Linked DNA regions of Kluyveromyces lactis. The protein of the gene in region 1 purifies or fractionates together with the protein of each later gene. This does not show direct contact. Links are inferred from orthologs where the notes say so. Each region holds a gene or a part of one and is shown in the gene's direction. Other genes may lie near its edges.

Region 1 (9,472 bases):
ACATTATTACCAATTAATATTAAGATCGTATACTTCATTATGCTTACATGGTATGGGTTTTTATTTAACTTGTCTATATGTGTTAAGAAATTTTCTGAAGATATCCTTTAGTAAATAGAATATCTTTAAATTGCTGTGAATATTAAATAATAATGGCGGATGGAGGTACAAAAGGTATTGTTTTGAAGTACCATCATAATTTTGTAAATTGTCGAAAACTTTTGAGAATAGTCTTCATCAAACGAAGAGTACTTTTTTGTCAGTCTACTGGGATTTTGAAATCAAACAAAAAAAGCGTCTCCTTAAACACCAGCTTCGAAGTCCTTTTGAGCCATGAAAATGGATAAATCAACCACTCTTGAAGAGTAACCATATTCATTATCATACCAAGAAAGGACCTTGAAAAAATGGTCGTTCAATTCAATACCGGCCTTGGCATCAACAATAGATGAACGTGAATCGGATGTGAAGTCAGAGGACACAACGGCGTCTTTGGTAACACCCAAAACACCCTTCATATCGCTGCGAGATCTTTGTTCTAGGGCCTTCATAATGTCATCGTAAGAAGTTTTCTTTGCTGTACGGAATGTCAAGTCAACCAGGGAAATATTAATTGTTGGGACTCTTATAGACATACCGGTGATCTTACCATTAAGTTCAGGCAAGATTTTCCCTACAGCCTTAGCTGCACCAGTAGATGAAGGAATGATATTTCCCTGGCAAGATCTACCGCCTCTCCAGTCCTTACCACCAGAACTGGTACCATCGACAGTCTTTTGAGAAGCAGTAGTTGCATGAATAGTTGTCATCAAGGCTTCTTCGATACCGAACTCATCGTCCAAAGCCTTAACCAACGGAGCCAAACAGTTGGTAGTACAGGAGGCATTAGAGACCACGTGATCCGTCAATGGGTTGTATTTAACGTGGTTAACACCATAGACGTACATTGGCGCGGTCTTTGATGGAGCAGTAATGATAACTTTTTTGACACCTTTATGTCTAGAGGCTGTATCGACTTCCTTGAAGACACCGGTTGAGTCAATTACATAATCGACGTTGTAGGAAGCCCATGGGATACGCTCTGGTTCCCTAAAATGAGATAGAGGGATATGAGCCGAAACATGGTCATTTTGAATGATGATACGTTCATCGTCGAATTCAACTTCACCACGATACTTGCCGTGAGTAGAATCGTATTTGAACAAATAAGCAGCGTATTCTGGTGTTGTGGATGGATTATTGATTAATCTGACCTTAACTTCTGGGTGCGTCAAAGCAGCACGTAGAACCAATCTACCGATTCTACCAAAACCATTGATACCAATGTTAATTTGAGCTGGCTTAGAAGAAGATTCGTTTGTCATATCGGGCATCTAAAAAAGTGACAGTATCAATTCTGTGAGATTTTAAAAGGTCCGGTTTAAAGAAAAAAAGTAACTTTTCTCTCAAATAATAATAATAGCGGTAATATGTGCCAGTAAATATTAGAAAATAAAGAAGTTTTCTAATGTCAATGTTATTAAATCACAAGTGGATGACCTAGCGTAGCAGTACCAGTAAGATCTTTATTTCTTAAAAAAGGTAAAAAGAAGAAAACGGTGATGCGAAAGCAGTGAAAGCAGAGCAGACAGCGGTTAATTAGATATGATTATCTCTGGATTTGTATAATTTAAGGAAACCATCAACCAAAAAAAAAAACACCAGTCGTTTACCGGTTAGATGATTTCGTCTTAAATTGCCCATGGCATGTACATCCCATATTTATATATACTTGAGGATAACAGATAAATGAATGAAATAGAAGCCATAGAGAAACCCCGGAAGAATGTTTCAAACTGGTCTAAATATTTGAAAGGTTGAAATTCCAACCTGCTTCTCTGTGGCAGAGGAACGTTGAGAAAAAAACACAAGACAAGTAAATAAAAAGGTCAAATTCACAACAAAAAAACGCCAGAAAAACTACGTAAAATGAAAGGCTTTTTTTCGCTGCTGCTTCCGTGCGATTTTCTACGCCAATCCCTATTGAATAATACTAGGACAGCGAAGCATCGGTCGGTTATTGATTGCTTCTATGTGGCTGTCTGCCCTATCTTGAGTCACGAATCAGAGACAAGGGGAAACCACTACATCAATTAGACGCCAGATAAGAATAGAGACAGACGCTTTAATGAGCTTACTGGCCAATAGGAAGCGTTTTTGGTCATCAGATTGTATGCCTATTATGTTGTCCGGTCTCTGGTAGATAATGTCATAAGTATGCCGAAGCTTTAGTATGAAAAAATACTGAAAAAACTCCGGGGTTCGTGACAGTTTTTTAGGGACAAAAAAGTCCTACCGGAGCAAATTGGAAGAGACAGACAATTTGGCCCTGAAACAATTCGGAGTTTCAAGAAAAGAGGGAAAAACAGAGAAACGCATAAAGAGCAGACATGATTTGGTAATAGTTCCGGGGTGAGGGGCACAGTAGATACTGCAGATAAAAGGGTCTTCTTCTTATCCTCCTTTCTTAGATATGTACATAGATATACCTTTATCGAATCTGCCTAGAGAACCCGGGGGAGCTGTGAAAGCGATGTTTTCCGGGCAGGGGCTGGTGCTTTTGAGAACGGTTCAGAGTCGGGCTTGGAACCGAATCTTCCGGGTACTGAATTCTTGGAAGGTTCGGAAGAGGAAGAAGCACACACGTGACTCAAAACTTGTAGCGCCAGTCTATTGCTCGCTTCCCAGACAGCTCTTGTGCTGCTAGCTATATGGGGGGTGATGGTGTTATAATGGCAATCCTCAGATAACCATTGTTCTACAATTGGCTCATCGTGAAACACGTCCATTGCTACATGTCTAACTCTGCCGGGTTCTTGTGCCATAATATGCTGTAATGCATCATCGTCGATTATTGAGCCTCTTCCGACGTTACAGATAACAACGCCGAACTTGCATCTTGACAGAAAAGTTTTGTTGATCATGTGATGTGTTGATGCATTTCCTGGTAGACATATTACAATGCAATCAAACGTTTCAAGGCATGGACTGCTTCCATGCGCATCCTGAAAATCAGACTCAAGTAGCTCAGAGATTGGATGGAATTGCCACTTCTGGATATAAGTGTCCGAGCTTATTTGTTCTTTTGTAACCGGATTTCTCTGCGTGTAATGTATTTCCATTCCTAATCCGGAATCCAATTTCCTACCACACTGGATTCCAATACGTCCAAGTCCCATAATGAGACATCTCTTGTTCCGACAACTTTCATTAAAGGTTCCTCGTTTCCATCTGTGCCCAAATTCGAACCTTGGTGAATTGTTTTCACCGTGTTCCAGTACGATTTCTGAACGAGCCTTGATAGTGTTTCTTGCTGATCTCAATGCATGTGCCTGACTTGAGAATTTCCGAAACCCATCTAGAACGTGCCAGAGGACGCAATCTGCAACGTCGTTGGCTACAATTCCAGAGTCCTGTATCATGTCGTCATAATTGTACAGTTGAATGCCCTTTTCCCGTAGTGACTTCAGGTCGAGCCAATTGTAACCTACAGAACACAGACATATGCACTTGATCGACCCAGGCCAACGATGATCATCCAAGATTTCTGCACTCAAACCACCTAAGGGAGCGAATTGTGGATACCCTCCAAATATTCCGACAATTGGACCCTTTTGCTTCGAATGCTGGTCCAAGAAAGTTAGAAATGCTTCCTTACCAGTGCCATCAACATCTCGTTCAAGTGTGTAATTAACCGTGTTGAACTCTTTTTGCAAAAGCTTATATTCCTGTAAACTGTATTCAGGTTCAGCTATGAATAGTATCCATGGCCTGTCCATCGTGAAACGAAGTTTGGGACAAATGAGGGAATATGGTTTTGTGTATAAACTTTGCAGTGAAGGGATCCGAGTTTTTCTCTGCCAACCCAGGATCGTCTTTGTTATAATTAATATTGAAACCTCCGTTCACAGATCTGGGTCACGTGAAGAAAACTTCAGTCACTATTTTACGATATTGGTTGAACTGACATACTACCTTTCGAGGTGCTGAACATTCCTGGATCTTCAGCAATTTATGAGCATCTGAAATTGTCCAACTAGTTTGTTAACGCTCGAGATCAATGCCTGAACTGAATGCAGTTATATGCGTCTAGAACGTTTGTCTTTTAACCTTGAATTAGTGTTGAAAATAAAGAAAGTGCGATTGTTACAATAAAAATAACAATAATAGGGAGGATCATAGTATTTAGCAAGAAAACAATAACGACTTCAAACGTAGGGCTACCTTCAACTAGATAGGAAACGTTGGACCTAGTTCATAGAACGTCGAATTGACAAAAGCTTGTAATAATGGACGAAAATTATGATGTTATCGTCCTTGGGACAGGTCTTACCGAGTGTATATTATCTGGCTTACTCTCAATCGAGGGGAAAAAAGTCTTACATGTTGACAGACAGGACCATTATGGTGGTGAATCATCCAGTGTCACATTAACGCAACTATACTCTAAATTCAAACAACATCCTTTGAGTAAGGAAGACATTGAGTCAAAGTTTGGCAAGGATAGAGATTGGAACGTGGATTTGATTCCTAAGTTCTTGATGGCGAATGGTGAATTGACTAACATTTTGGTTCATACTGACGTCACCAGATATATCGAGTTCAAGCAAGTTGCTGGCTCGTACGTTTACAACAGAGGTAAAGTATATAAAGTTCCTGCTAACGAAATGGAGGCTATTTCATCTTCTTTATTGGGTATCTTCGAGAAAAGAAGGATGAAGAAGTTCTTGGAATGGATCAGTGCATACAATGAAGAAGATATCGCCACACATCAGGGCTTAAACTTGGATCAAAACACTATGGATGAGGTATACTACAAATTTGGCTTAGGAAATTCAACCAGAGAATTTATTGGACACGCAATGGCCCTTTGGACCAATGACGATTATCTGCAACAACCTGCTAGACCATCAGTGGAAAGAATTATCCTATATGTGCAATCGATTTCCAGGTTTGGTAAATCTCCATATATTTACCCTATGTATGGGTTGGGCGAATTGCCTCAAGGATTTGCTAGATTATCAGCTATTTACGGTGGGACATACATGCTAAATACCCCAATTGAAAAGGTTTTATACTCAGACGATGGTAAATTCGAAGGTATTGTCACCAAAGAAGGTACTGCAAAAGCACCAATAGTCATCGCAGATCCAACATACTTCCCTGAGAAATGTAAAACTACAGGTGAAAAGGTGATCAGAGCAATTTGCATCACTAAACAACCTGTTCCTAACACTAGTAATGCTGATTCTTGCCAAATAATTATACCACAATCACAAGTTGGAAGAAAGAACGACATTTATATTGCTACTGTCTCTGACGCCCATAAAGTTACTTCGAAGGGTCATTACCTCGCCAGTGTATCAACCATCATTGAAACTGATAAACCTCATATCGAATTAGAGCCGGCTTTCAAAATGTTGGGCCCAATTGAGGAGAGGTTCATGGGTATTTCAGAAATCTTTGAACCGATCGAAGATGGCACTAAAGACAACATTTACATCTCTAAATCTTACGATTCCTCATCTCACTTCGAATCCATGACCGACGATGTCAAGGATATCTACTTTAGGATTACTGGTCACCCCCTTGTTTTAAAGAAGAGAGAAGATGTTGCAGAGGAGTAAGTGAGAACTACGAGATAACCGTGATGCTAACTTTTGAAAATATCGTACCTTCACGTACTTCTACGTACTTTTACGTTACTTTCTTGTTTCGTTACAATCTTTATCATTATCATTTTATTTTTGTCTATTTACTATCTAGCCCCACATATTAGCTTGAATGTTTTGGCAATAGTTTTATTTCAGCAATCGACGTAAAAATATCCCAGCTAGTCCTCTTAAGTCCAGCAGCTTCTCTACTTCTACATATGAAGTTGTGTATGTCAATTTTGTACATGTATCTTTTTTTTTTCCTTCAACATGAAATTGTTTAAAACAATTTCATGTTGAAATTTGACAATACAACTACAACACATTCAAAAGTCAAATGCATGGACCTCTGAACCAAGGCCGTACTGTCCAGAACCATGCTATTATTTTCATTTTTCAAGACCCTGGTTGATCATGAAGTCAAAGTCGAACTAAAGAACGGTATTGAACTAACAGGTACTCTAAAATCAGTCGACCAATTTTTGAACTTAAAATTAGACAACATTTCGTCCAACAATAATGAAAAATATCCACATCTATCAAGCGTGAGGAACATGTTCATCAGAGGTTCTACTGTGAGGTATGTACATTTGAAGAAATCTATGGTGGATACCAACCTACTTCAAGATGCAACCAGAAGAGAATTAATGAGTGAAAGAAAGTAAACGAAAGAAGCAGCGAAAAACAGGGTTCCTGCTGCAGAAAGGAATAATTTATAACTGTTAAATATCATTCGAGTCTACCACTCTCACACTATTCACATATGTAATAATAGAACACATTACCTATCATGGTGGAACTCCCAAGAGTTTCTTCTCACATTTTGATCGGAGGTGTCCAGTTTCATTGCAATAAGAACATTTAATGTTGTTAGCTTTAGACTTTCGTTTTCCAAATTTGGCTTGTTTAGGAGTTCTTTGTACTGGAATTAGAGCATATTCTTGACCGTCTTTCTGAATAATCTCAATTTGTTTCGAAATCATTTTTGAGAACTTCTCTTTATCCAGTTCAACGGATGTAATCATCGAGATGAGCTCATCAACGTTCTTCAGTTTGTTCTCGTATTCCTCTTTTAAAGACGGGAGAGTCGACTGCTTTTTTTGGGACTGAGATAACACTAGTTTGGCTAGTTGATCAAGCGCCTCAGACTGTTTAATAATCTTGTCTGCATCCGCCATGATAGAGCTTGTGGTCACTGGGGTTATCCGATACCACACTTCCTACTCTGGTGGTCCTGAATTTGATCCTATCTCTCTATCGTTCTTTTTTCACTTAGATTCCATAGTGAAAGTGAAAATAAAAAACGACATCGGACAGGGACGGATGTGACCCCGTGAGAAGAGGTGGAGTCGCATTTCCTTACGACTATATGCTCATTTCAACATACGAGATATACATATATACCATGCAACTATTTTTAGGTTGATTTGTCTTACTATCACAAACTTTTCTTTGTTCTTGAACAGAACTGCCCTTTACGAGGCGTAATTAATAGTTTGCGATTCCAATTTCACATCAGCAGGGTTCGGAGCCGCCTCATACACTGCAACAATTGGAACTCCTGAATTTCTTAGTTTCCCTGTCGCTTCACCTCTTAACTCACAGAAATATAATCTATTAAGGTCATCCTCATCACCCGACCAGTTATCCTTCACTAAGACAGTCAAGTTCTCACAATTCTGGAAGATATTCCTTGGCAAGTCAAACTTGATAAATGTGTCATCATCAAATAATGATTCATTATTATAATCTGGTTCAATACCGACGTTGTCTGGAAACTCGACGGTGTACTCCGCCTTCAGATCGTTTATGGTATCAAAGTCCAAATTCTTATTGTAGTTCTTATACAACTGAATGTGTCTTGGTGTACTATACCCTGATCCACCCTTGTTAACTCGTAATATAATTGCAAATATTTTAACAGATGCAGTAAAGGGAATCTGAAGTAACACTTGACAGTCTGCGTCTGACTCTAAGTAAAGGGAAGTATTATACTTCTCATCTTGCGGCTTCAAAAAGCTTTTTGAAACCAAACTTGACCTATCATTGCTAACTCCATTCAGGACTTGTACTTTTGTCATGTCAATATGTGTATATAGGGACTGGTTAGAGAACGTTTCTGCAGGTGGTTCATGAGAATGTCCATGATCGTGGTTATGACCATGTCCGTGATCATCGCCATGACTGTGACCGTGGTCATGGTTATGAGAATGCAACTCGTCTTCACAACTGAAGCCTGACATTGTGGTTATATAGACAGATAACTTTTGCTCTTGTTATTCTATTCTGGCCATTACATTCACTTTTTAAACCATCCTATCTCATCTCATCAAATCACATGAAATTCTTACTATTAAATACCTTAATCTGTAAATGAGAGTTACAGGAGAAATAAGGGTATAGACATAAAAGCTAAACTGAGATACGTATAATTAGAAACAAAAACACTCAATGTTACCTGATCCTTTTTTAGAATACCCCCGTAAGCATTTCGTGTTCTGATACCCGTCGGTCTGGCATCTATCGTTAAGTACTTCGGCAGATCCATAATATGAATAAATTCATTATCCAATACAACAAAAAATAACTAACACAATTCAAAAGTTCTATAGTTTGAAGAACCAAACCACCAGCAACCTAAATAAAATAAAGACGGCAGCCTGTGTGCAAGTGCATTTTTGAATACCTAAACTGTATTTACTCATAAAGAACCAACTTAAAACATGCCAAGCACGTGATACAAAAATAAAGGATTCTTACTAGTCATTCCCAAAAAAAAAAGAAATTTCCGAGCCTATCTGAAAAAGGTTTATAAGTAACTCAGTCCCAATATCCGCATCAAAAGCAGCAACATTTCTTTTACTGAAGGTGTATTCTGTCCAGATCCGAAGAGGGAAGCACCGCCCTAAAGATAGTACATTCACTTGTGTACATACATCCAAACCAAAATGGTCCATGTTGCTAGATTCTTGGACGAACGTCCTACCGATATTCCTTCTATTCTTGCCGGTGGTTATAACCATCCTTTATTGAGAGAATGGCAGAATGAGAGACAGTTAACAAAGAATATGTTCATCTTCCCGTTGTTCGTTAGTGATCAGGATGATGAGGAAACTATTATACCATCATTGCCAAATATCAAGAGATTTGGTATTAACAGATTAAAAGATTATGTCGCCGGGTTGGTTGCCAAGGGTCTACGTTCTGTTATTTTATTCGGAGTGCCTTTGAAGGACGGAGCTAAGGACCAAGTTGCTACTTCTGCTGATGATCCAGAAGGACCTGTAATCCAAGCTATCAAGTTACTTCGTAAAGAATTCCCTGATTTGTACATTATCTGCGATGTTTGTTTGTGTGAATACACTAGCCATGGCCATTGTGGTGTCTTGTATGAAGATGGCACCATTAACAGAGAAAAATCGGTTCAAAGAATTGCTGCCGTTGCTGTCAATTATGCCATTGCTGGTGCTCATTGTGTGGCGCCAAGTGATATGATTGATGGTAGGATCAGAGAGATTAAGATGGGATTGATCGAGCATGGATTGGCTCATAAGACCTTTGTGATGAGTTATTCCGCTAAATTCAGTGGTAACTTGTATGGTCCATTCAGAGATGCCGCTTGTTCTCAACCAGGAAAAGGTGATCGTAAGTGCTATCAATTGCCTTCAGGAGGTCGTGGCCTAGCTAGACGTGCTTTAAAGAGAGATTTGCAAGAAGGATCAGATGGTATCATCGTCAAACCTTCTACTTTCTATTTGGATGTGATGTCCGATGCAGCT
Region 2 (11,627 bases), on another chromosome or scaffold:
CAAGAACATCCTGATGAAAGATATCCTAACAAAGTAAAGAGTTCCCACCAAAGACTATTGAAGAATATTGTAGCAAATGAACTCCATACCGATGACCACACTTCAAAAAAGAAAGTTAAGTTGTTACAAAGTCTAGCAAATACTAAATTCTTCCAAGAAACAACGATAGATTGGGTTGAGGCCGGCTTACAAGTCTGCAAACAAGGTCACAGTATGCTCAATCTCTTGATTCACAAAAAAGGCCTTACGTACTTACATCTTGATTACAATTTCAATTTAAAGCCAACTAAAACCCTTACAACGAAGGAGAGAAAGAAGGCAAGATTTGGGAATGCTTTCCATTTAATAAGAGAAATTTTAAAAATAATAAAGTTGTTGGTAGATTCTCATGTTCAATATAGGATGGGAAATGTCGATGCGTTTCAGCTTGCTGATGGATTGTACTATATTTTGAACCACACAGGACAACTCACAGGTATCTATAGGTACAAGTACAAAGTCATGCATCAAATTCGTACATGTAAAGATCTAAAACATGTCGTGTATTATAGATTCAATAAAATTATCGGGAAAGGTCCAGGATGTGGTTTCTGGCAGCCTGCATGGAGAGTTTGGATATTCTTCCTTCGAGGCATAATACCGATTCTAGAAAGGTGGCTAGGAAATTTACTCACTCGTCAGTTTGAGGGAAGATCAACTGATGTTGTTAAAACTACTACTAAACAAAGACTCGATGCTTACTATGACTTAGAACTACGAGCATCTGTTATGAATGACATTTTGGACATGATTCCCGATGGAATAAAGCAGAGCAAGGCAAGGACAATTTTACAGCACTTATCTGAGGCTTGGAGATGCTGGAAAGCCAATGTTCCCTGGGAAGTTCCAGGAATGCCCGAGCCAATAAAAAACATTATAGAAAGATATGTGAAAGCAAAAGCTGACGGTTGGACATCTCAAGCTCACTATAATCGTGATAGAATCAAAAGTGGTGCCCATGTCGAAAAAATTGTATTGAAGAAAAATTTAGGCAGATTAACTAGACTTTGGATAAAACATGAGCAGGAAAGGCAAAAGGAAATTGAGAAAGCAGGTCCCGAAGTAACCCCAGCAGAAGCAAGTGCAGTGTTCTCGGCAATGGTAGATTGGCTTGATGCCAGGAACTTCTCACCTATCCCGTTCCCTCCTTTGACTTATAAAAACGATACGAAGATTTTGGTTTTGGCACTTGAGAATTTAAAAGAGCAATACGTTTCAAAAGTCAGGCTAAATGCCCAGGAACGTGAAGAGTTAGCTTTAATTGAAGAGGCATATGACAATCCTCATGATACCTTGAATAGAATTAAAAAACTATTGCTAACCCAAAGATTATTCAAGCCAATACAACTAACAATGATGGATCATTATCAACACATATCTCCAGTCTATAACGTTGATCCGTTGGAGAAAATTACCGATGCATATCTTGACCAGTATCTATGGTATGAAGCTGACAGAAGGCAGCTTTTCCCTAGTTGGATAAAGCCAGGTGACTCAGAAATCCCGCCACTTCTTGTTTACAAATGGTGTCAAGGCATTAACAACTTAGATTCTGTATGGGACATCAGCAAAGGGCAATCGACCGTATTGTTGCAAACTGATTTACAAGAATTCGTTGAAAAGATGGATTTGACACTAATAAACAGGCTCCTAAGGTTAATTATCGATCCGACATTAGCGGATTACATTACTGCAAAGAATAATGTCAGTTTGATCTTTAAGGATATGAATCATGTTAACAAATATGGTCTAATAAGGGGATTACAATTTGCACCATTTGTTTATCAATTTTATGGTTTAATGATTGATATTCTCATCTTGGGACATGAAAGGGCACAGGAACTAGCAGGCCCTCCAAACGAACCATCTGAATTCTTGCAATTTCCAGATAAAGCTACTGAAACGAAGAGCCCAATTCGCCTCTACTCACGCTATCTTGACAAAATCCATATTTTATTCCACTTTGAAGAATCTGAGTCTGATGAGCTTATCCAAGACTATTTGATGGAAAACCCCGATCCAAATTTTGAAAATTCTGTTGGTTATAACAACAAGAAATGCTGGCCTAGAGACGCCCGCATGAGGTTAATCAGACACGATGTTAATCTAGGTCGTGCTGTTTTCTGGGAACTTACATCTAGGGTACCAAAATCACTTGTTAACATAACGTGGGAGAATACTCTTTCTTCAGTTTATAGCAAGAATAATCCTAATTTACTTTTCACTATGTGCGGTTTTGAGGTGAGAATACTACCGAAATCTCGGATGGAAGATGTCATTTCTCATGATGAGGGTGTATGGGATTTGGTGTTGGACTCCACAAAAGAACGGACTGCCAAAGCGTTTTTACAGGTATCACAAGAAGCTATTGATGAGTTTAGAGGTCGTATTCAAAGTATTTTGATGGGTTCCGGCTCCACAACTTTTACAAAAATTGTGGGCAAATGGAATACTGCACTAATCGCTTTGTTTACCTATTTTAGAGAATCTATCGTCACGACAGAACCGTTACTCGACTTACTCGTGAAATCTGAGACTAGAGTTCAAAATAGAGTAAAACTCGGCTTAAATTCTAAAATGCCAACAAGGTTCCCTCCAGCAGTGTTTTATACACCTAAAGAGTTAGGTGGTTTGGGAATGCTCAGCGCATCGCACATTTTAATTCCCGCTTCTGACTTGAGGTGGTCAAAACACACAGATACTGGAATAACACATTTCAGGGCAGGGATGTCCCACGAAGATGAGAAGATGATACCAACAATTTTCCGATACATTACTACCTGGGAGAACGAATTTTTGGACTCACAGAGAGTATGGGCGGATTATGCTGCTAAAAGACAAGAAGCCATAAAACAAAATCGTAGGTTGGCATTTGAAGAATTAGAGGGTTCTTGGGATAGAGGTATACCGCGGATCAGTACCATATTCCAAAAAGATAGGCATACGCTAGCCTATGATAAGGGTCACAGGATTAGGCGACAATTCAAAGAGTATTCAGTGGAACGTAGTAATGCTTTCTGGTGGACAAATAATCGTCATGATGGTAAATTATGGAACTTGAATGCCTATCGTACGGATGTCATTCAGGCCTTAGGGGGTATCGAAACAATTCTTGAGCACACATTATTTAAAGGAACTGGCTTTAAATCATGGGAAGGACTTTTCTGGGAGAAAGCCTCTGGTTTTGAAGATTCAATGCAGTTCAAGAAACTTACTCATGCACAAAGAACTGGTTTGAGTCAGATCCCTAATCGTAGGTTTACGTTATGGTGGTCTCCGACGATTAATAGAGCGAACGTCTACGTTGGGTTTTTGGTGCAATTGGATTTAACAGGAATATTCTTGCACGGTAAAATTCCAACATTGAAGATATCTTTAATTCAAATTTTCCGAGCACATCTATGGCAAAAAATCCACGAAAGTGTGGTTTTCGACATCTGTCAAATTCTGGACGGCCAAATGGATATACTACAGATTGAATCTGTTCAAAAAGAATCAATTCATCCACGTAAGTCGTATAAGATGAATTCGTCTGCTGCTGACATCACATTGAACAGTATTTACAAATGGAAGGTTAGCAGACCAACATTGTTGCATCAGACGAAAGATTCTTTCGACGCTACCACAACTGACAAAATGTGGATCGATGTGCAGCTTAGATATGGTGACTATGATTCTCATGATATATCAAGATATGTCCGTGCGAAATTTTTAGATTACACCACAGATAACGTGAGCTTGTACCCGTCTCCTACTGGTATTATGATCGGTATTGACTTGGCCTATAATATTTACGACTCCTATGGAACGTGGTTTGAGGGATTGAAGCCCTTGATACACAACGGTATGAAAACAATAATGAAAGCTAATCCAGCACTTTACGTTTTGAGGGAGCGTATCAGGAAAGGTCTTCAGATATATCAATCTCAAGTTCAAGAGCCATTTTTGAACTCATCCAACTACGCAGAGCTATTTTCCAATGACACAAAATTCTTTATCGATGATACGAATGTTTACCGGGTCACTGTTCATAGAACTTATGAAGGCAATGTGGCTACTAAGCCTATCAACGGATGCGTGTTTACTTTAAATCCGAAAACAGGTGAACTATATTTGAAAATAATTCACACTTCGGTGTGGGCGGGGCAGAGCAGATTGGCTCAATTGGCAAAATGGAAAACCGCAGAAGAAGTAAGTGCATTGGTTAGATCGTTACCCAAAGAAGAACAACCTAAACAAATTATAGTTACTAGAAAAGCTATGATGGACCCTATGGAAGTACACATGTTAGATTTCCCAAACATTTCGATTCGTCCAACTGAGCTCAGATTACCTTTTTCTTCTGTTTTGAACATAGAAAAATTAAATGATGTTGTTTTAAGCGCTACAGAACCGCAGATGGTTTTGTTCAACATTTATGATGACTGGCTAACTCGAGTTTCTGCCTACACTGCTTTCTCTAGATTGATATTGCTATTAAGAGCGCTCAAAACCAATGAAGAAAAAGCCAAAATGATTCTATTAGAGGATCCTACAATCCCAACGAGAGCTAATCATCTATGGCCTTCTTTTACTGATGATCAGTGGATTGAAATTGAGACGAAGATGCGTGATCTAATTCTCTTAGAGTATGGTCAAAAATACAATGTAAACATTGCTTCTTTGACTCAAACTGAAATCAAGAATTTGATTTTAGGACAGAACATTAGAGCTCCATCTGTTCAGAGGCAGAAGATGGCAGAATTGGAGGCTGCAAGAAATCAGAAAACTGATGAGTCGTCGCAGTCTGCCACGGCAGCCATGAAGCTAAAAACAATCAATGCTCAAGGTGAAGAAATTACAGTGGTGTCATCCAGCAATTATGAGTCCCAATCTTTCAGTTCGAAAAATGCTTGGCGGTCAAATGCAATCTCCAATTCATTGCTACATTTGAAGCTTAAGAACATATATGTTACTGCCGAAGATTTTGTAGAAGATAAAGATGTCCTCGTATTCCCACGGAACTTGTTGAAGAAGTTTGTCACAATAGCTGATGTCGATGTCCAAATTGCAGGGTATATGTACGGGTCACCTGTAAAAGATCACCCTAATGTGAAGGAAATTAAGACGATAGCACTTGTCCCTCAACTCGGCAGTTCCGCAACTGTTCGCATATCTCCTCCCCCCTCATCTTCCAAATATCTCAACGACATGGAACTGTTGGGATGGATACATACCCAAAAAGTCGATTCCAAATTCATGTCACCATCTGAAGTGATCACTCATTCCAAAATGTTTTCAGATCATAACGAAAGTGCTGTTGATTTGTGCATAAATCTAATCCCAGGTGCCGTATCAATTACAGGATATACGTTAAGCACTACGGGTTTCAACTGGGGCTTACAATCGAAAGACATAACGGACCCTTCACCAGAAGGGTTTGAAGCTTCATTTAGCGAGACTGCACAGATTTTATTATCTGAACGCATTATGGGCAATTTCTTGGTACCTTCGTCATCGATATGGAATTACGCTTTCATGGGAACTGCTTTTAGCGAAGATCTACCTTACGAATTGAAATTAGACATCCCACTAGAGTTCTATAATGAACTCCATCGTGCTCCTCACTTCATACAATTCTCTGAACTTGCTGGAGATGAGGAATTAGAACCGGATCAAGAAAATCTATTCGCTTAAGCGAAGGAGAATACAGATAATTTCTCTATAATTGTTATATATTTTTTTAAAACCATTTTACATTTATATTAGGCATCTGACCTGCATTTGCCCTTACATCAACCGTATAAGACGGTTTGGAATGGCGTTTTAGGCTCTACGATTTTCATATTATCATAAAAGTGAAGTAGTCATAATGTGCTTGTTCCATCTGACTTCCAAACTTTCACGTGACTTCTCTCTGAGAGGTAATACTGAATATTTAAAAAGTAGACAAGGAACTTCGTCCCTTGAAGATATTGCACATCGACTCTCCGATGGAGACGGTTAAACAAACAGTTTAACCAAAGTGATTATTGGTGCATATTGGAAGAAACTAGTTACTTTCAATAAAGGAAGCCGTGAAATAATAATGGCGCGAACAACTACCAAGAGAAATGTCTCTGCAGCAACACGACCACAAAGAAAGAATCCATTGAGATTTAAACCAGGTAACTCTGGACCGAAATATAACAGGCCCAACGCAGCAGGTCCTAAAAAAACGGATCATATGATAGCTGCAACTTCTACTAACGCGAATCAAACATCTAACTCTGATAAATCTTCTAAATTTCTCCCAATGTCTGGTCATGAAATGAACGCAGCTAAGTACATTATGGAACTAACGAGATTAGGTTACTCGTTTGACAAAGTACAAAAAGGCTCCAAATCAAATTACAACTTTCTATCAAAAATGTATAATGCCCTTAGACTACCCGTTAATATTGACTCTGGTGACATATCGTCAAATGAAGAGAATGATGTGAAAATAGCAGTTAAAGAGAATTTACTTACAAAGCCAACTGCTTTCCAAAATTCTATTGAAAAGCAAGAGACACCAAAGCTATCACAAAATGAAACCGAAGCCACAGAATTTAATCAAAGTACCTCTGCACCAAATGTTTCTAATACTAAAAATAGGTCGTTCGCACTGCCAGAGGAACGGGAACTAACGGCAATCGATTCAATTGCATCAGAAATGAATGAAGAAAAGCTTGGAATGGCATTATATGAGCAGACATCCCGTATACTCATGAAGACGAGGCTAAATTTACTGAAGCTAAAGGCTGCAGCAAACAAAAGAGTACCGAAGTTTAGCAAAGAACTGGAAGCGTCTCTCAAAAAGAAGAAAGATTTACTGATTTCAGATATTGAAAGTTTCTATTCCACAATTGGGTTACGAGATGAGTTCGCTCCAGGAATGAACGATGATTTCATCGAATTGGGAGATTCTTTTATGGATAAAAGCAACCACGACGAACATATAGTCAATGATGAAAACGAACTGCCGAAACGTCTACAAAGTCCGGATCAACATATCAGTATGGCGAACTCTAAAACTTATCAACTCAATCTCAATCAAGCTAGTAACGGCCTAGTAGAACCATCCACAATCATACAGGACAGTGTCATTAAATTAAAGAAGTCTACACCAGATCACTTTACCCCGTATCAATCCCTCAATTTAACGAAAAGAACTCAACCTAATACTTAATACTAACGCGTTCGTACGTAAAATTCTGACGTATCAACTCACCGTTTCCGTTCATTATCATGACGTTTATCAAACAATATAATTTATAAAGGAATGCACGAAAATGCATCAATATTTGTGAGAGGACCAAAGTGTCGGTTCTATACATCCAATGTAAGTCGTACCCTAGCCCTGCGATTGCCTTTTGCCATGCGCAATGTTTTGGTTTGGAATCAGAAAATGTTGATCTCTAAAAAACGTAAATATTAAAACAATACACATAAATATATCGCGAATAAGAAGAACTATTTGAATATCTTCAAACGCGAAGAGAGAAAAGCCCAACTGCCAATCAGTCAACTTTAGGATTAGTGAATTGGTGGTAACCCAAATGGTGGGGATTCAAGAAGCAGAAAAAGAAGCATACTGTTGTACAAACTCAATAGCAATAAGGCTTTGAATTCTTTACTGGAAACACGATGGTTTCTACCCCAAAGAAAAAACGTACCGCCAGTGTTTCTATATCGCCATTTAAGAAGGATACGGATGCTATTTCAGTGGATTATAAAGGGAAACCTAAAAAGAAACCAAGTAAATCTTACCATTTTGCCCCCCTGAACCGGCTTAGCAGTGAAGAACCAATTTTGAAATCGATACCGATCTCAAGAGTACGAAATGTGGAAGCTGGAAGTTCCGTCAAAGATACTGTCAATGCGAAAACTAGTGGCAAAACAAAGCTTGCATCTAAAAGAATTATCAATAGCACAAAGACTAGAAGGGAAAAATCGACTGAAGCTGTGCCAGAAACGAGGTATAGCGATGGTCCGTCGGAAGAAGTAATATGGAGATACTCTCCTAGGAAAATTGATGAGCAATTATGTAACCATTATAATACTGGAAACGACGATAATAACTCCGATGAATTAAGTCAAGATATGCCTCTAGGTCAATCTTCTACTCCATTGATCAACGATAAGTTTAAAGATGTGATTGATTTTGAGAACATGGATCCCAACAGCATTGATAAAGAATGCAGGAAAATTGCACAAGGATCTCCTGTAAAAAGAGGAGAAAAGGATGTCACACCTATGAGAGATATACACGAAATTTTAAACGACTTAGAAGGTCCTAAGTTGCTTCCGCCTTCTTCACCAATTTGCTCGGAACCAGTTGTTATAGACGATGACCCTGTAGAAAATCTTCCGGAGCTGGCATCAGAGAGTATTTCAAATCATAAGCATACTACAACTAATGGCATAGAACGCACGTTCACAATGTATCCTCCTCAGATCAATATAGATGACGACGAGGATGAGGACGATTCGTTAATTGATATTCTCACACAAAGATTCACAAAGCCAGTCATCACAGAATGCAATGAAGAATCAGAGGAATCAGATGCTTCCTTATTAGAACTTCTTGATGAGGAAAAGCCAGCTACACTCCCTCAACTTCAAGTGAGAAAAATTGAACGCATTGAAGTTATGCTTGAATCAGAGGATGAAAATGTGGAAGACTCTGTAAAATCAAATGAAAATCAAACCGATCATCTGCTTAATAACAAAGCCGATGTGGTTGAAAGGTATGTTAACTTGGCTAAATTCCCATTCCCTCAACGCGGCTGTCAAAGACTATGTATTTTTGAAATCAAGGAAATGAAATCACCAGCGCAAATAATTCTCACATGCTTCAATCAGGATGCTGGAAAAGTTAACCTAATTCTCAGAGATCCATGGATTCGTTTCAGATACGAGCAAGGAATGATTATTCACCTAATAGAAGGTGACCACTTTCCTAATAAACGGCTTCTTTCAAATGACAAAGACCCTAAAACAGGCCTCGAAAATGATAATTTATTGATCGTGTATCCGGATGTTCTTCTTTCTGCCACTGCAATTGGGACTGCCATGGATTGCGAAAGGCGTGCCGTTTTATCTTCAAAATTTAATGAACCCGGTGAATACTCGCTTGCAGCTGTCTTAGGTAACATTATTCACGCGTTGGTCCAGGAAGTGTTAAAATTGAAGCTGTTGGAGCCGAATCAGTTTCTCTCAAAAGGCTTAGCTCTCGAAATTCTGGACAAAGTCATAAAACCATTCACTACGGAGGTGAATATGTGTGGAGAATCTGTCGAATCAGTGATTAAAACGATTTCAGATGAGCATTTACCTTTTATCATAGAATTTGTGAACATTTATGTCACTAAGGACAATTCAAGGTCCTGGATTCAAGTAATTGGAACAAAAAATAAACGTAAATTATCTGTTTCTCAGATCGTTGATATTGAAGAGAACATTTGGTCATCAAAGTATGGATTGAAAGGATATATAGATGTCACTGTTGAGACGAATGTTGATTCAGACGGTAAAAAGTTGTTAGCTCCCGTGGAGATAAAGACAGGGAAATGGAAATCTAATGCACACGAGGCACAGGGTCTAATTTATACATTGCTTCTCCAGGATAGATATGACATCCCTGTAAATTTGCACATGATGTTGTATACTAAGCTAAGAGAGTTCTCATTACAACCCAAAATTTTAATATCGCTAAAGCATCTGCTTAACCTCAGAAATAAACTTGCGACATACCTACAAGTAATGAATGAAGAGATGTCTGATTGGGGTGGACCACAACATGAATTACCCGCAATGATACAGAACTCCAAGTGCGATCAATGTTTCATGAAGACATCTTGCATGGTGCTCAACAAGTTAAGTGACAAAGAACAAACGCCAGGATTGCTAAAGCATGAATATACTGATTTAACCAGACATCTTGAAGCACAAGGCTCACAGGTCCTAGAGCTCTTTCGGTCGTTTTACGGCAAGTACGATAGGCTTTTAATGATGGAAGAAACTAGCATAACAAGTGTCACTAAAGATACTTTCCTTATGTCGGGCACAGATCGAGAGGCTCAAACAGGACATTGCATAAGTCAGCTTACCATAAAGAATGTACAGGATCAGGGAAACGGGAGATATCTGTACACTTTCTGCCGCGAAAACGATATTCAAGGGTCATTTGCCACTTCCAATGCAGAACAACAGGAGACCAAGAAACTCAAGAGCGCTCCACCTAGCATGCTCTCGTCAGATATCCATAAAGGAGATTATATAATGATCAGTAACGACACCTCTGGCCAGTTAGCCATTGGAACTGGTCATGTCTCTGAAATCGCTAACGATTTCATTGTGATAAATTGTGCGAGAAACATTCTGGCAAACAATATTCATGGTGATTCTTTTGATAGAAATACGAGACAAGTAGTTCGAAGTGTTTTACTTAAACAAAAAGAGCCATTGAACGAGAAACAAAGCTTGACAAATAGTCACCGATATCGTATTGATAAAAATGAGAGTGCTACAGGACTTACTTTGGCTCGTTACAACCTTCTAAATCTCTTTCTTCCAGAAGTCCTTATTGAAGCTGAATTCTCACCGCAAAAATCTGGAGAAAAATTACAGCTTCCTGTTAAAAGATCTCTTGGGGGTTACAGCAGGGGTCGTAGGCTCATTGTAGAGCTTTCCGAACCGAAATGGACGACTCATGCGGCCAGAATACCAACTCTTAATGACAGCTTTAATGAAAACCAGAAAATGGCGATTGAACGTTCGCTCACCTGCCGTGACTACAACTTGATTTTAGGAATGCCTGGAACTGGTAAGACATCAGTTATTTGTGAATTAGTTTCAATATTGGTAAATCAGGGAAAATCTGTCATGGTGACAAGCTACACCAATTCAGCTGTCGATAATATTATAATGAAGCTAACTTCGCGTATCCCTCGCTCTAAGATGGTACGTTTGGGATCTGGACGTCGAGTCCATGATTTGGTCAAACCATATTGCATAACAGAGATGTTAGATGGTGATAACGAGAACTTGTCGGAAATAATCGATGCAGCACAAGTGGTCGGTGTAACGTGTCTCGGTATTAATGATCCGTGGTTACAAATGCGAAATGGTGATTTTGATTATGTTATATTAGATGAAGCCAGTCAAGTTTCGCTACCTGTCGCCATTGGTCCATTAAGGTTCGGATATAAGTTCATATTAGTCGGAGACCATTATCAATTACCGCCATTAGTGAAGAACTCATTTGCACGTGACAATGGTCTACAAGAATCGTTATTCGAAAAATTGTGTCATTCGCATCCTCAAAGCGTTGTTGAACTACAATTACAATACCGTATGAATGCAGAGATCATGTCTCTTTCCAACGTGTTGATATACGGAGGAAAGTTACAATGTGGTACTGACGAAATCCGCAGACAAGTCTTACAATTCCCAAACAACTATAAATGCTCACAGGACACATGGCTGCAGAAGGCTATCAATCCCGAACAACCTGTGGTGATATTGGATCATGATGGCTTCCAGTCAACAAGTAACCAGCAGTTCGTTGAACAGAATGATCATGG
Region 3 (11,477 bases), on another chromosome or scaffold:
TTCATTATCCTTCGATCCATATATTACCTTACCAATACCATGGAAATAACTTGTTGAACTTTCTCTCGTGAAAATACTATTAGTTTCATCAAAGCTAGAAGTGCACCAGAATTGTAATGCCGCGATGCCAGATCGAATATCACCTGTACTAGATGCAAGGTTCTTAATGAAAGTGCCACTTCTTTGGTATTTCTCTGAGGGGATTTCTCTTCTAACTTTCTGTATTATCTGCTTTAAATGCTTCGTCATTAATGTTGCATTGATGGGATTAAACTTAATTCGATGCAACAACGGGTGCATCAAGATATCTTTGCCCAAGATTGTTTCTGAAATGAAGGTAGAATCTATTCCAAATGATGAATTAGTAGAATTCGAGTCCAGTAGTTGACATTCAGTAAGACAAATCACCAGTGGTGGTAGACGATCAGAAGCAAAGAGCCACGAGAGAATACTCTCCCTGAACCTTTTCAACGTTGACTCGTGGAAAACATTCGGCAGATCTTCGACAAGAAGTACTGACAAATTCCTACCGATTAAGTACTTAGATTGAAGCAAAAAATCATCAAACGACTCAGATGGTGAAACGCTACTCATATCTGTAAGATATTCTGTAAAATTCGGAACTTCCCTTCCACTCACTGTGAGTCCTGACGTAGCTCTATAACGAGGCACTATCTCATCGCTTATAAGCTTAACACAAGTACTTTTAGAACAACCTGCAGGCCCACTTAACAGAAGAATCCGTTCATCTGATTTCCCTGAGACCATACCCTCTAAATAATACCGTACTTCCTCTATCTTCTTCTTATGCAATGCGATGTCATCAACTCTCTTCGGACTAAATTTGTCATACCATTGCAGCTCACTTGGCAACGTCCGTTCTCCACTAGGTCGTGTCAAATCCACATGATCCAAATTCGTGTAAGGAAAGGAAGGAACCGACGTAGATGATCGTTTCACCTTCTTATCCTTTCTTGGGGATGCTCTGCTTATCCTATCGCTGATTTCACTGATAGATCGTTTCAAACTAGGAGTTGACATGCTATAACATCATTAAAATTCCTCAATTTATGACGAAAATAAATGTAATGTCGTTTAGTTCAATTCTGCAAAACGGCCGAGCTCCGTCTTGGCGAGCTATTCGGTATATAATTTGGTATTAAGAGTAGTTTACCTCTCTTCAATCTGTATTCTCTTATATTGAGTGCTAATCTCTGACTGTGGAAATATCTAGCTTACCCGCACATTGAAATTAAGCATTCCATTTGATATTTGCTAGTCGAATATGAATTATATGAATGGAATAACATCGTATAGCTTAGATGTGGTATCTAAAATGCACATAGAGCGAGTTGAAATCAAGCAATAGTCAGTACTGATAAGGTACATACTTAGACAGAGAGATGACCGAAGATGCTAAAGAAAGAAAGCAGAAAATCAAAGAGATTTACCGTTATGATGAAATGTCAAATCAGGTACTACGCGCTGATAGAAGTTTGATAGAGAACAGGACGGATGTGCATCGTGATGCGGAAATATCACAGCCGAAGTCTATGTCTGGTAGAATCAGGCTTACTGAAATGGGATCTGCCGTTAAGGAGAACGGATTAGAAGATAACGAGCGTGCTACAGCAGAGAAAGAATTCGAAAAGCGTATGAAAAGCTCATCGCCTCAGCAGACGAATAGCTCAAGGCTGGACAGAACCACGGTACTTGACGATATAACGTCTTTGAACTACATACCGACTGATGATAGAAATACTGAGATATACGATGAGATAACTACATGGTGTTCTGAGATACTCGGTGATGATATACCGCATTCCATTATAGTAGACGCAACAGATTTGATAATAGTAACTTTGAAGCAGGATGAAAGTGTAGACCTAGAGAGCAAGAAAAAGACTATTGAAGTAGCTTTGGATACTGAATTAGACAACGCTTCATTCAACTCACTTGTAAAGCTCGTGAAAAGTATCTCTGATTACTACGCAGAATCCGCCGATACCGGTAGAACAGTAAATGTAGCGATAAATCCCAATGAAGATGATGACGAAGCAGAAGAAGAAGAGGAACCAAATGCTCTACTAGAAGCTGTAGATGACGTGGCAGGGGAAGAGGCCGATGAAGAAGCGGGTTATAATGAAAAAACAGACAATAGTAATGATAATTTTTCTGTACGAAGTGACATAATGAATAATTCAGAATCTTTGCAAATACAGAGTGCAGCTGTCATGGAAGAAATAATAGATATCAAAGATATTGATGGATTTTATCTTCAGAGGAAGATCAGGAAACAACTGAAAAATATTGAAGAGACAAAGGTTCAGGAAATGGCCAATAACGTATACGACCTGCTCGCAAACGACATCTCTGAAGAGGAACTGACCCAAAATCTCCACGATATTTTCGGACCTGATGCGAAACAATTGATTAGGCTAATAGTCTCAAATAGGGAGACATTGTACTGGGGTCACAACTTACAGAGGTCTGCGAACGAGAACATTGACGAAATTCTAGGGGAAATGGCACAAAGAAATTTATCACACTTGGTAGAAGCATATAAGGCGAAACCTGATTCTGCTAAAAGAAAGTTGAATTCAGAGCCAGAAGTTGGAACCAAAAAACAAAAAATAGAAGCTGAAGATGAACCCAAAGTAATTGCCCTCGATGACCTTAAATTATCGCAGAATACCAAGTTTTTGTCAGACGTGAAAATTTCGTTACCTGAAAACTCATTCAAAAGAGTCAAAGATAGCTATGAAGAAATTCACGTTCCCCCGCCCAAGAAGGTTGATGACAATTTCCCGCTTGTACAGATCGAGAGCCTACCGAAATGGGCTCGCAGTGCTTTCCCTACGTCTGAAACGACTTCACTAAACAGAATTCAATCTGAGGTCTACCCCACTGCTTTCAATACAGACGCTAATGTATTACTATGTGCCCCCACAGGTGCTGGTAAAACTAACGTAGCAATGTTGACTGTACTAAGAGCAATGTCCCATTACTATCGGGAAGAGAGAAATGCCTTCGATTTGAAAAAATTTAAAGTGGTTTATATCGCACCGCTCAAGGCATTGGTACAAGAACAAGTCAGAGAATTTCAAAGAAGGTTACATCATTTTGGAGTGAAGGTAGCAGAGCTTACAGGTGATTCCAACTTATCTAAGCAGCAAATCGAAGAAACCCAACTCTTAGTAGCAACTCCGGAAAAATGGGATGTAATCACAAGAAAATCAACAGACACTAGCTTTCACAAACTCGTACGTTTGATCATCATAGATGAGGTCCATTTATTACATGATGAAAGAGGTCCGGTCATTGAATCAATAGTAGCAAGGGTTCTACGGGACACAACGGCAGAAATTCCTACGAGGCTTGTTGCACTTTCTGCCACTTTACCAAACTACATTGACGTGGCCAAGTTCCTTCATGTTCCTGATAATGGCTTATTTTATTTTGATTCAACTTTCAGGCCATGTCCTTTAGCACAACAGTATTGTGGCATCACTGAGAAAAATGCTTTAAAGAAGAAGAATGCCATGAACCAGGCATGCTATGATAAATTATTGGAGGCCGCAAAAGAAGGACACCAAGTTATCATTTTCGTTCATTCGAGAAAGGATACTGCTAGAACTGCTAGGTGGCTTATTCAAAAACTTATAAATGAAGATAAAATAAGTGCGTTCCAAGGTACCGATAAAGGTTCCTTGGAAATCCTCAAGACAGAATCCAGTAATGCTACTGATAGATCGCTCTCCGACCTTATACCTTATGGATTCGGTATCCATCATGCAGGCCTTACAAAGGATGATAGATCTTTATCCGAAGACCTTTTTGCTGATGGTTTGCTAAAAGTTCTTGTTTCCACAGCAACTTTAGCATGGGGTGTTAACCTTCCTGCCCACACTGTCATAATTAAAGGTACAGAAATGTATTCACCGGAGAAAAGTGATTGGGTCATGCTTCCCCCACAAGATATCCTTCAAATGTTAGGAAGAGCTGGTAGGCCGAGATACGACGTAAATGGTGAAGGGATCATTATTACAAACCAATCAGACGTACGTTATTATCTCGCTGTGTTGAACCAACAACTCCCTATAGAATCTCAAATGATTTCAAAAGTTGTTGATAATCTTAATGCTGAAATAGTTCTAGGTAACGTCACCTCACTAGATGAAGCAGTTAACTGGTTGGGTTATTCCTATTTATCAGTACGGATGAAGCAATCACCTCATTTATACAACTTGCAAGGTTCTTCAGGAGACATGAGTGATGCTGAGCTCATAAGAGTCAACAGAAATATTGTGCATACGGCGTTGAATTTATTACAGAATAACGGTCTTGTAAACTATGACTCTCTTTCTAAGTCGGTACAACCAACTGAGCTAGGTAGAATATCCTCTCATTTCTACATAAGTTATTCGTCAATTGCAAAATACAACCGGGAGTTAACAATAAACAGCACTTTGATCGACATTCTGAGAATATTTGCTATGTCAGAAGAGTTTAAGAACATTACCGTAAGACAAGAAGAGAAAACTGAATTAGAGAAACTCGTCGAGCGTTGTCCAATTCCGATCAAGGAGAAGGCTACTGATTCATTAGCCAAGGCAAACATTCTACTTCAGGTGTACATTTCAAAATTACGATTGGAGGGGTTCGCTTTAAATGCGGATATGATTTACATTTCTCAGAGCGCAGGTAGACTTTTCAGAGCACTCTTCGAAATGTGCTTAAGAAAAGGATGGCCAAGACTAACCAAGCTTCTGCTTACCATCTGTAAATGCGTCGATAGCAGAATGTGGCCCACGAACTCACCATTTAGGCAATTCAAGAGATGCCCTCAAGAAATCATAAGACGAGCAGAAGCGTCTGGTTTACCCTGGAACGATTTCTTACTGTTGAAGAATGCTCATGAGGTAGGCGAAGCCTTAAGATCTCCAAAAAATGGTAAAGTTGCTTTCGATTTGCTTCAAAGATTCCCGAAGATTGGCATTCACTGCGCAATGCAGCCAGTTACAAATTCACTACTTCGTTTTGAGTTGGAACTCCAACCTACATGGATCTGGGATCTGGATTCCAGCAGCTATTCTGAAACATTCCTTGTTCTTGTCGAAGACACAGACGGTGAACAAACAATTTATCATGAGACATTGCATGTTGGGAGAAATGCAATAAACAGCATTGTGTATCTTGACTTTGTTGTATTTTTGAAGCAGAAAATGTTACCGCCGAACTATTTTGTATCCGTTATATCAGAAAAATGGCTAAACTGTGAGTACAAGATTCCTGTTATTTTGAGTGAAATAAAATTACCTAAACCATTCCCTCCTGCAATATCTGTTTCTGATTCAATTAAGAAAAGTACCAAGGAACTACAAATTGATGAATTTGAGGCGTTATACAATTTCCATTCTTTCAATAAAGTTCAAACTGAAGTTTTCGATACATTATACCATGAAACTGAAAACGCACTAATATGTGCAACAAAAGGTTCCGGTAAAACAATAATGGCAGAACTTTCATTATTGAACCATTGGAGAGAAGGCAGAGGACGTGCGATTTACATTTGTCCATTCAAAACCAAGATAACTGAACTTCTAAAGAATTGGAAAAAGCGATTCTCACATTTGGCTGGTGGAAAACTGATCAATGCTTTTTCTGGAAATTTGCAGCACGATCAAAAACAATTAGCCCAATCTCATCTAATATTAGCTACTCCGAATGAATTTGAATACCTGTCTCGTCGCTGGCCGGAAAGAAAAAACATTCAAAGAATAGAACTAATTATTTGTGATGACATCCATGAAATAGGCAACGAGATAATTGGACCGATGTATGAAATCATAATTACGAGAATGATTTTCATTGCAACACAATTGGAGAAGAATATAAGGATTGTGGGGCTTGGAACCCCACTTGCCAACGCAAAGGATTTCGGAGAATGGTTAGGTGCAAAAAAATCAAGTATTTTCAATTTTACTGCTTTAGAAAGGCAAACACCCTTGACAGTCGATATCGAAACTAGCATTTTAGTAAAAAGCCCTACTTCTAATCGAATGGCCCTAACTGAGATCGTTGAAAGTAGTAATCGTGTCGCCTCACCCGATGAAACTATAACAGTTTTCGTCACTGACAGATATGAATGCGTTTCTTTCGCGACAGAACTCGTTGGTCTCGCTGTTGCTAAAGGCATTGATCTTCTTAGAGCAGAGGAATCCAGTTTACACTCGTATCTCAACAAGGTCCAGGACAGCAACCTCAAGACACTGTTGCAAAGTGGTATAGGAATTCTATACCAAGGTATGCATTATTCCGATAGGAATGTAGTCCGTAAGCTCCATGAATACAAGGTGATATCGATTTTGGTTGCAAGTAGGGATTGTTGTTTTGATGCCCCTTCATCAAGTTTTGTCTTTGTTACTACAACTCAATATTTTGAAGGCAGGGAGAACAGATACATCGATTATCCTGTAAATACTATTCTTGAGATGATGGGAACAGCGTTTACGGCGTCAAATAAACAGCAAGCACATGCAAAACTAATCACCACAATGCAAAGGAAGGAATACTATAAAAAATTCCTTTGTGATGGGTTACCAACGGAGAGTTCTCTGCCATACCATGTTATTGATTTACTTACAACGGAGTTTGCAAACCAAACATTAGAAACCAAGCAAGACTGTATCGACCTTTTAACTTACACTTATCTATATCGTAGAATACATGCAAATCCAAGTTTCTACGGTATTCAAGATGTGACTGCAGACGAAATTTCCTCCTATTTAACAGAATTAGTAGAGGAAGCAGTAACAACCATGAAGGAAACCGAGCTTATATCAGTTGAAGGGGAAGCGAACGATTCCACAGAAATTGCAGAGGAGGTAATTTCCCCGAATAATGCCTGTCTTATTTCTGCTATCCATGCCGTAAGTTGTTTAACGATATGCAATTTTAGCCGAGCAGCATCAAGATCACTAAGAATGAGCGGTATTCTTGAAATTTTGTCTTCAAGTGAAGAGTTTAAGACATTGCCTCTTAGATTACATGATATAAAGCCATTAAGAAAATTATACGACATTTCACCTTTGAAGTTGTCCTCCGAATTCGATCCACGCTCCACAACAGCCAAGGTTTTTGTGTTATTGCAGGCCCATTTTTCAGGTCTTCATTTACCCATGGACTTATCACTTGATTTGTCTGAAATCCTTTCAAAAGCACCTAGCTTAGCAGGAACAATGGTAGATATATTGTCAATGAACGGTTATTTGAATGCCACTACTGCTATGGATTTAAGTCAAATGATTGTTCAAGGTGTGTGGGATACTGATTCACCTTTGAAACAAATTCCATTCTTTGATACAGACATCTTGGAGAAATGCAAAAACCATAATGTAGAAACAGTTTATGACGTGATGGCTTTAGAGGATGAAGAAAGAGAAGATATCATCACTTTACCGGAAAATAAGTTGAATAAAGTCGCAGAATTTGTCAACAGTTATCCAAACATTGAGTTGAAGTATGCTCTAGATATGTCAGCACCGATGAAACCTCACGACAAAAAAATGGTTACTGTAACAGTAAGTAGAGATGAAGAACCAGAAACACTAAATGTTAGCTCAAAGTCGTTGCCACATGAAAAAACTGAAGCATGGTGGATATTCATCGGTGAAAAGAGCTCCAGGCAGCTATATGCTATCAGGAAGATCGCGCTTACAAAAATGACCCAGGACTACGAATTGGAAATCGAATTGGAAGATCCTGGTGATCATGAACTAACAATATGGTGTGTATGTGATTCTTACTTGGATGCCGATAAGGAAGTAACATTTAATGTTAACATCGCATAGTAAATGCATAAATAAAAAGAAAGTACTGTATATATGCAGTGAATATAAATTAAAATAAAATTCTTTCTATAAGCAGAGTAGAATCCCTTTATCTAATCCTTCATTTCAATGTCCCCGTCATTATCCTTGACTTCTGTCACATCCGAATCAACAAACCCGTTATGTTGCTTTTTCTTAACACTTTCTTGGTGCGCCAGTAACTGTGCATGACTCCACACAGATACACCTTCTTGATCTTTTGGATCAGTTGGTTGTGCCATGGTTCGCAAAAATTGCTTAGTATTGGCGATAGCCATATCCGTGGACAAGTTCATGTCGGCATCAGATAAACCTTGTGCAATCCATTTTGGTAGTTGACTTTTCTTCCTTGCAAATCTACGGTCTGCCAACACCATTACACCGTAGTCATCTTTACCACGTAAAACTCTACCTAAGCATTGAGCTGCATGTCTCATTGCATCAAAAGATAAAAAGTCATTCTCTCGGATCTGGTAATTCTCACGTAAGAACTCTAGTCTTGCCTTAAGAATACGAGATTCTGTATACTGGAACGGAATGCCGATCATGAGTACAGTTCTTCCGTACTGATGGTCAAAATCGATACCCTCAGACACTTTACCACGCGCAACTGACAAAAGAATGGCTCCTCGTCCGTTAGAACAGGCCTTACGGTATGTTTCCAATGCTAAAGCAGTTTCTTGTGCATCGGGAGTTTCCACTAAGATCAATTTGTATTTCCAAACCTCATCTAGAATACCCATAGTTTGCCACATTGAAATAATGGATTCCATGTATAAATAAGATGGGAAAAAAACGACCAAACCATCGGGTGTGATTTTGGCAAATTCAACCAACATCGAACCATAGTTACGAACAATGGAAGGATCATTTCTAATTTCGAATCTAGATGATATTGCCACTTGATCAGAACCCTTTGTTAAAATCATTGGCAAGAATGATTTTTTCGCTAAAGTCATCGAATAAGATTGTTGTAATACAGTTTCGAAATTTAACATCTTAGGGTACATATCCAACGGGGATATGGTACCCGAAGTGATAATAACCGATGAGAATCGTTCGAAGATAGGTTTAATTGCAATCGATGCGTCAAGACAAGTAAATCTAACGATTGGATTGGGCACTGCCGCATTTTCGATTTCATACGGTTCTATAATCAAGAGGAACCCATCCTCATAAGTAGAAATCAAAGTAGCAAAAGTTGCAATGTCTTTCAAAGCGTTAAATTCTTCCACTTCCTCGACTTCAAGGGTCCTAACCAATAACGACAATCTTTCTGAACAAAATCGTAAAGGTTTCCTTTCTATAAATGTCAATTGTTTGAGATGAAGGAGGAAAGAGTTTGGTGTCTCCGATATGACATGTAAAACCTTCATTCTAGTCTTCAAATATTCGATAAATCTTTTCAAAAATGAAATGAAATGTGTAGCTCTTCTTATATTCCCAGGAATTGCCTCCTTCAATATATCATTTGACAAAACTGGTGTTTCCACCAACGGCTCTTCTTCGGGTTCCAAGATATCCGATGCTCTTAACCCGTGAACCAACTTTTCATATTCATCTTGTAATTTCTGTGAATCCACTTTCTTCATCTCTTCGACTTTCCGATCCAGGGCATTAGCACCTTTAGTGGCCTTCTTTAATAGATCCTTGGTCAAATCTAGGGAAAGAGATTCAATGCAAACATTATCTATATTATGGGCCTCGTCGAAAATCACAATAGCATCTTTACTGACCTCTTTCGACACACGCTCTGCAATCTTGGGATCCAATAGATAATGGTAAGAGTAAATGATAATATTACACATCGAAATCATACGACGTACAGTGAAATAAGGACACATCCGTTTCTCCTCACAAAACCGAATCAATCTTTCAAATGAAAACACACCTGGAGGCAAATAATCTGCCACATCGTAATTATACATATTTTCATGGTAATCACATAACTCTACGTTAGCATCCGGATTCTCTTCCTTTTTCTTCCTCGCTTGCCCATTTGTCATCCGTCGACATTTCTCATCCACAACGTTACCTTTCCTTTCCTTACTAACCCTGGGGTGAAGACACAAGTTCTTTCTACTGGTGAGCCCCAACCCACGGAAATCTTCCACAAAGCCAAGCTCTTTAGATCGATAATCCATCAAAGATTCTAATTCCACTAACGCCTTTTCGATTTCAGACATGGTACGAGAACAATAAATAATCTTCCTATGCTCAGGATAATGCATTTGATACGCCACTGTCAAAGAAAGTAACGAAACAGTCTTACCGGTCCCAGACGGCATCTCTAATATGCTATTCCCACCAGCATCCAAGGTTTTCTTTATATCACACATATACTGATATTGTTCAGGATATATCTTAGGATATGGGAACAGAACGGGCAAATCATCGATGTAAAACTTCATTATACTGCTAGAACCTGTATTCGAGATACCCGCTGTTGGGTTCAAGACACAAATCAAGAAGAATCTACACTATCAACTCTCTTCAAACCTTATATTCAACGCTTTAGAAGCTTTAGTGATTCTTTAAAAGATTTTTTTTTCATGTTGAGCATAGTAGTCTGTAAGTATGTATGATTAAGTAAGATATGGGAAGGTAAACCATTTTTAACTAATTGAATGGCACTGGCTCCTGGTCGTGCCTTGTTTCTATTTACATGTTTATCGTGGTTAAGAGCGAGAGTATTAGTTTGCGAATTTTTGTAGGATTAGCGATACTAGTTTCGGGTATATAATGTCACTAGTGTTACCGGAAATGGTTGACAGAATACCTTGCTTCAAGTAATGTTCCTTCAATGGGGTCACTGTCTTGTTGTACTGTTCTAGCCTCTTGCCAAACACCTCTGCAGTATCGTCGGGTCTCTTGGTCAAAGGTTCACCGGTGATATCGTCCTTTCCGTCGACTTTGGGAGGGTTATATTGCAAATTATAAACTCTTCCACTTGGAACGTGAACGTAACGGTTTTCGATTCTCTCCAAGATCACTTCATGAGGCACGTCTAGCTCCACGACAAGGTTTAATGAGGCATCGTGTTCCAACAATGACTTGTCTAACACTTCAGCTTGACCCACGGTACGTGGGAACCCATCTAGTAACCAAGTAGCATTTGGATTTAACCAGCCACGTGACTTCAATTCGTCACACACAACTCCGGTGATCAAATCATCGGGTAACAACTGGCCTTTCTCAATATACGAGGAGGCACTTAAACCTAACGGTGTGCCATGTTCAATCTGTTTACGTAGCAAATCTCCAGATGAGATAGCCTTGATGGATCCGAATTCTTTCAACAGTTTCGAGGTCTGAGTACCTTTACCAGAACCGGGTGCACCCAGTAGTAACAATCTTAATGGTCTGAGAACTGACATGGCGGGGACAATTGGTATTATAACAGTCTAGCTAGCTGTCGGAGACTCGTCAAATGGACAAGTTAAGTATACAGAGACTGAACAGAAGTGATGTTACTCATCGTTAAGTGACTTGATTGGATAGTTCAATGATTAAGTGGTCAAATGATTACGGAAAAAGGGCAAAAGGCCGGGTAACAAAGTGGGTTAAAGACAAGATACGGCTAAATATCGGTCAATTCCTCATGTA

What was found.
Region 2: the proteins of LSM2 (region 1) and PRP8 purify together in Saccharomyces cerevisiae (affinity purification with mass spectrometry; 4 studies listed by BioGRID). This does not show direct contact. The link is inferred for Kluyveromyces lactis from reciprocal best matches to the Saccharomyces cerevisiae genes LSM2 and PRP8.
Region 3: the proteins of LSM2 (region 1) and BRR2 purify together in Saccharomyces cerevisiae (affinity purification with mass spectrometry; 7 studies listed by BioGRID, with this or other methods). This does not show direct contact. The link is inferred for Kluyveromyces lactis from reciprocal best matches to the Saccharomyces cerevisiae genes LSM2 and BRR2.

What each region holds. Positions count from the first base shown.
Region 1 is NC_006042.1:849,986-859,457, forward strand, and holds LSM2 (Sm-like protein LSM2), read left to right. Parts: upstream 1-6,070; coding exon 6,071-6,358; downstream 6,359-9,472. Other genes in the region: KLLA0_F09141g (type I glyceraldehyde-3-phosphate dehydrogenase), read right to left, coding at 303-1,373; KLLA0_F09163g (putative hydroxyacid dehydrogenase), read right to left, coding at 2,544-3,818; GDI1 (Gdi1p), read left to right, coding at 4,329-5,666; KLLA0_F09229g (uncharacterized protein), read right to left, coding at 6,482-6,871; KLLA0_F09251g (PITH domain-containing protein), read right to left, coding at 7,169-7,936; porphobilinogen synthase HEM2, read left to right, coding at 8,642-9,472. UniProt on the Saccharomyces cerevisiae protein: Component of LSm protein complexes, which are involved in RNA processing and may function in a chaperone-like manner. Component of the cytoplasmic LSM1-LSM7 complex which is involved in mRNA degradation by activating the decapping step.
Region 2 is NC_006037.1:470,651-482,277, forward strand, and holds the end of PRP8 (U4/U6-U5 snRNP complex subunit PRP8), read left to right. Parts: coding exon 1-5,715; downstream 5,716-11,627. Other genes in the region: KLLA0_A05302g (uncharacterized protein), read left to right, coding at 6,107-7,228; bifunctional ATP-dependent DNA helicase/ssDNA endodeoxyribonuclease DNA2, read left to right, coding at 7,687-11,627. UniProt on the Saccharomyces cerevisiae protein: Functions as a scaffold that mediates the ordered assembly of spliceosomal proteins and snRNAs. Required for association of BRR2 with the spliceosomal U5 snRNP, and the subsequent assembly of the U4/U6-U5 tri-snRNP complex.
Region 3 is NC_006039.1:1,576,128-1,587,604, reverse strand, and holds BRR2 (ATP-dependent RNA helicase BRR2), read left to right. Parts: upstream 1-1,403; coding exon 1,404-7,853; downstream 7,854-11,477. Other genes in the region: RAD24 (Rad24p), read right to left, coding at 1-1,041; TFIIH/NER complex ATP-dependent 5'-3' DNA helicase subunit RAD3, read right to left, coding at 7,946-10,282; adenylate kinase ADK2, read right to left, coding at 10,565-11,248.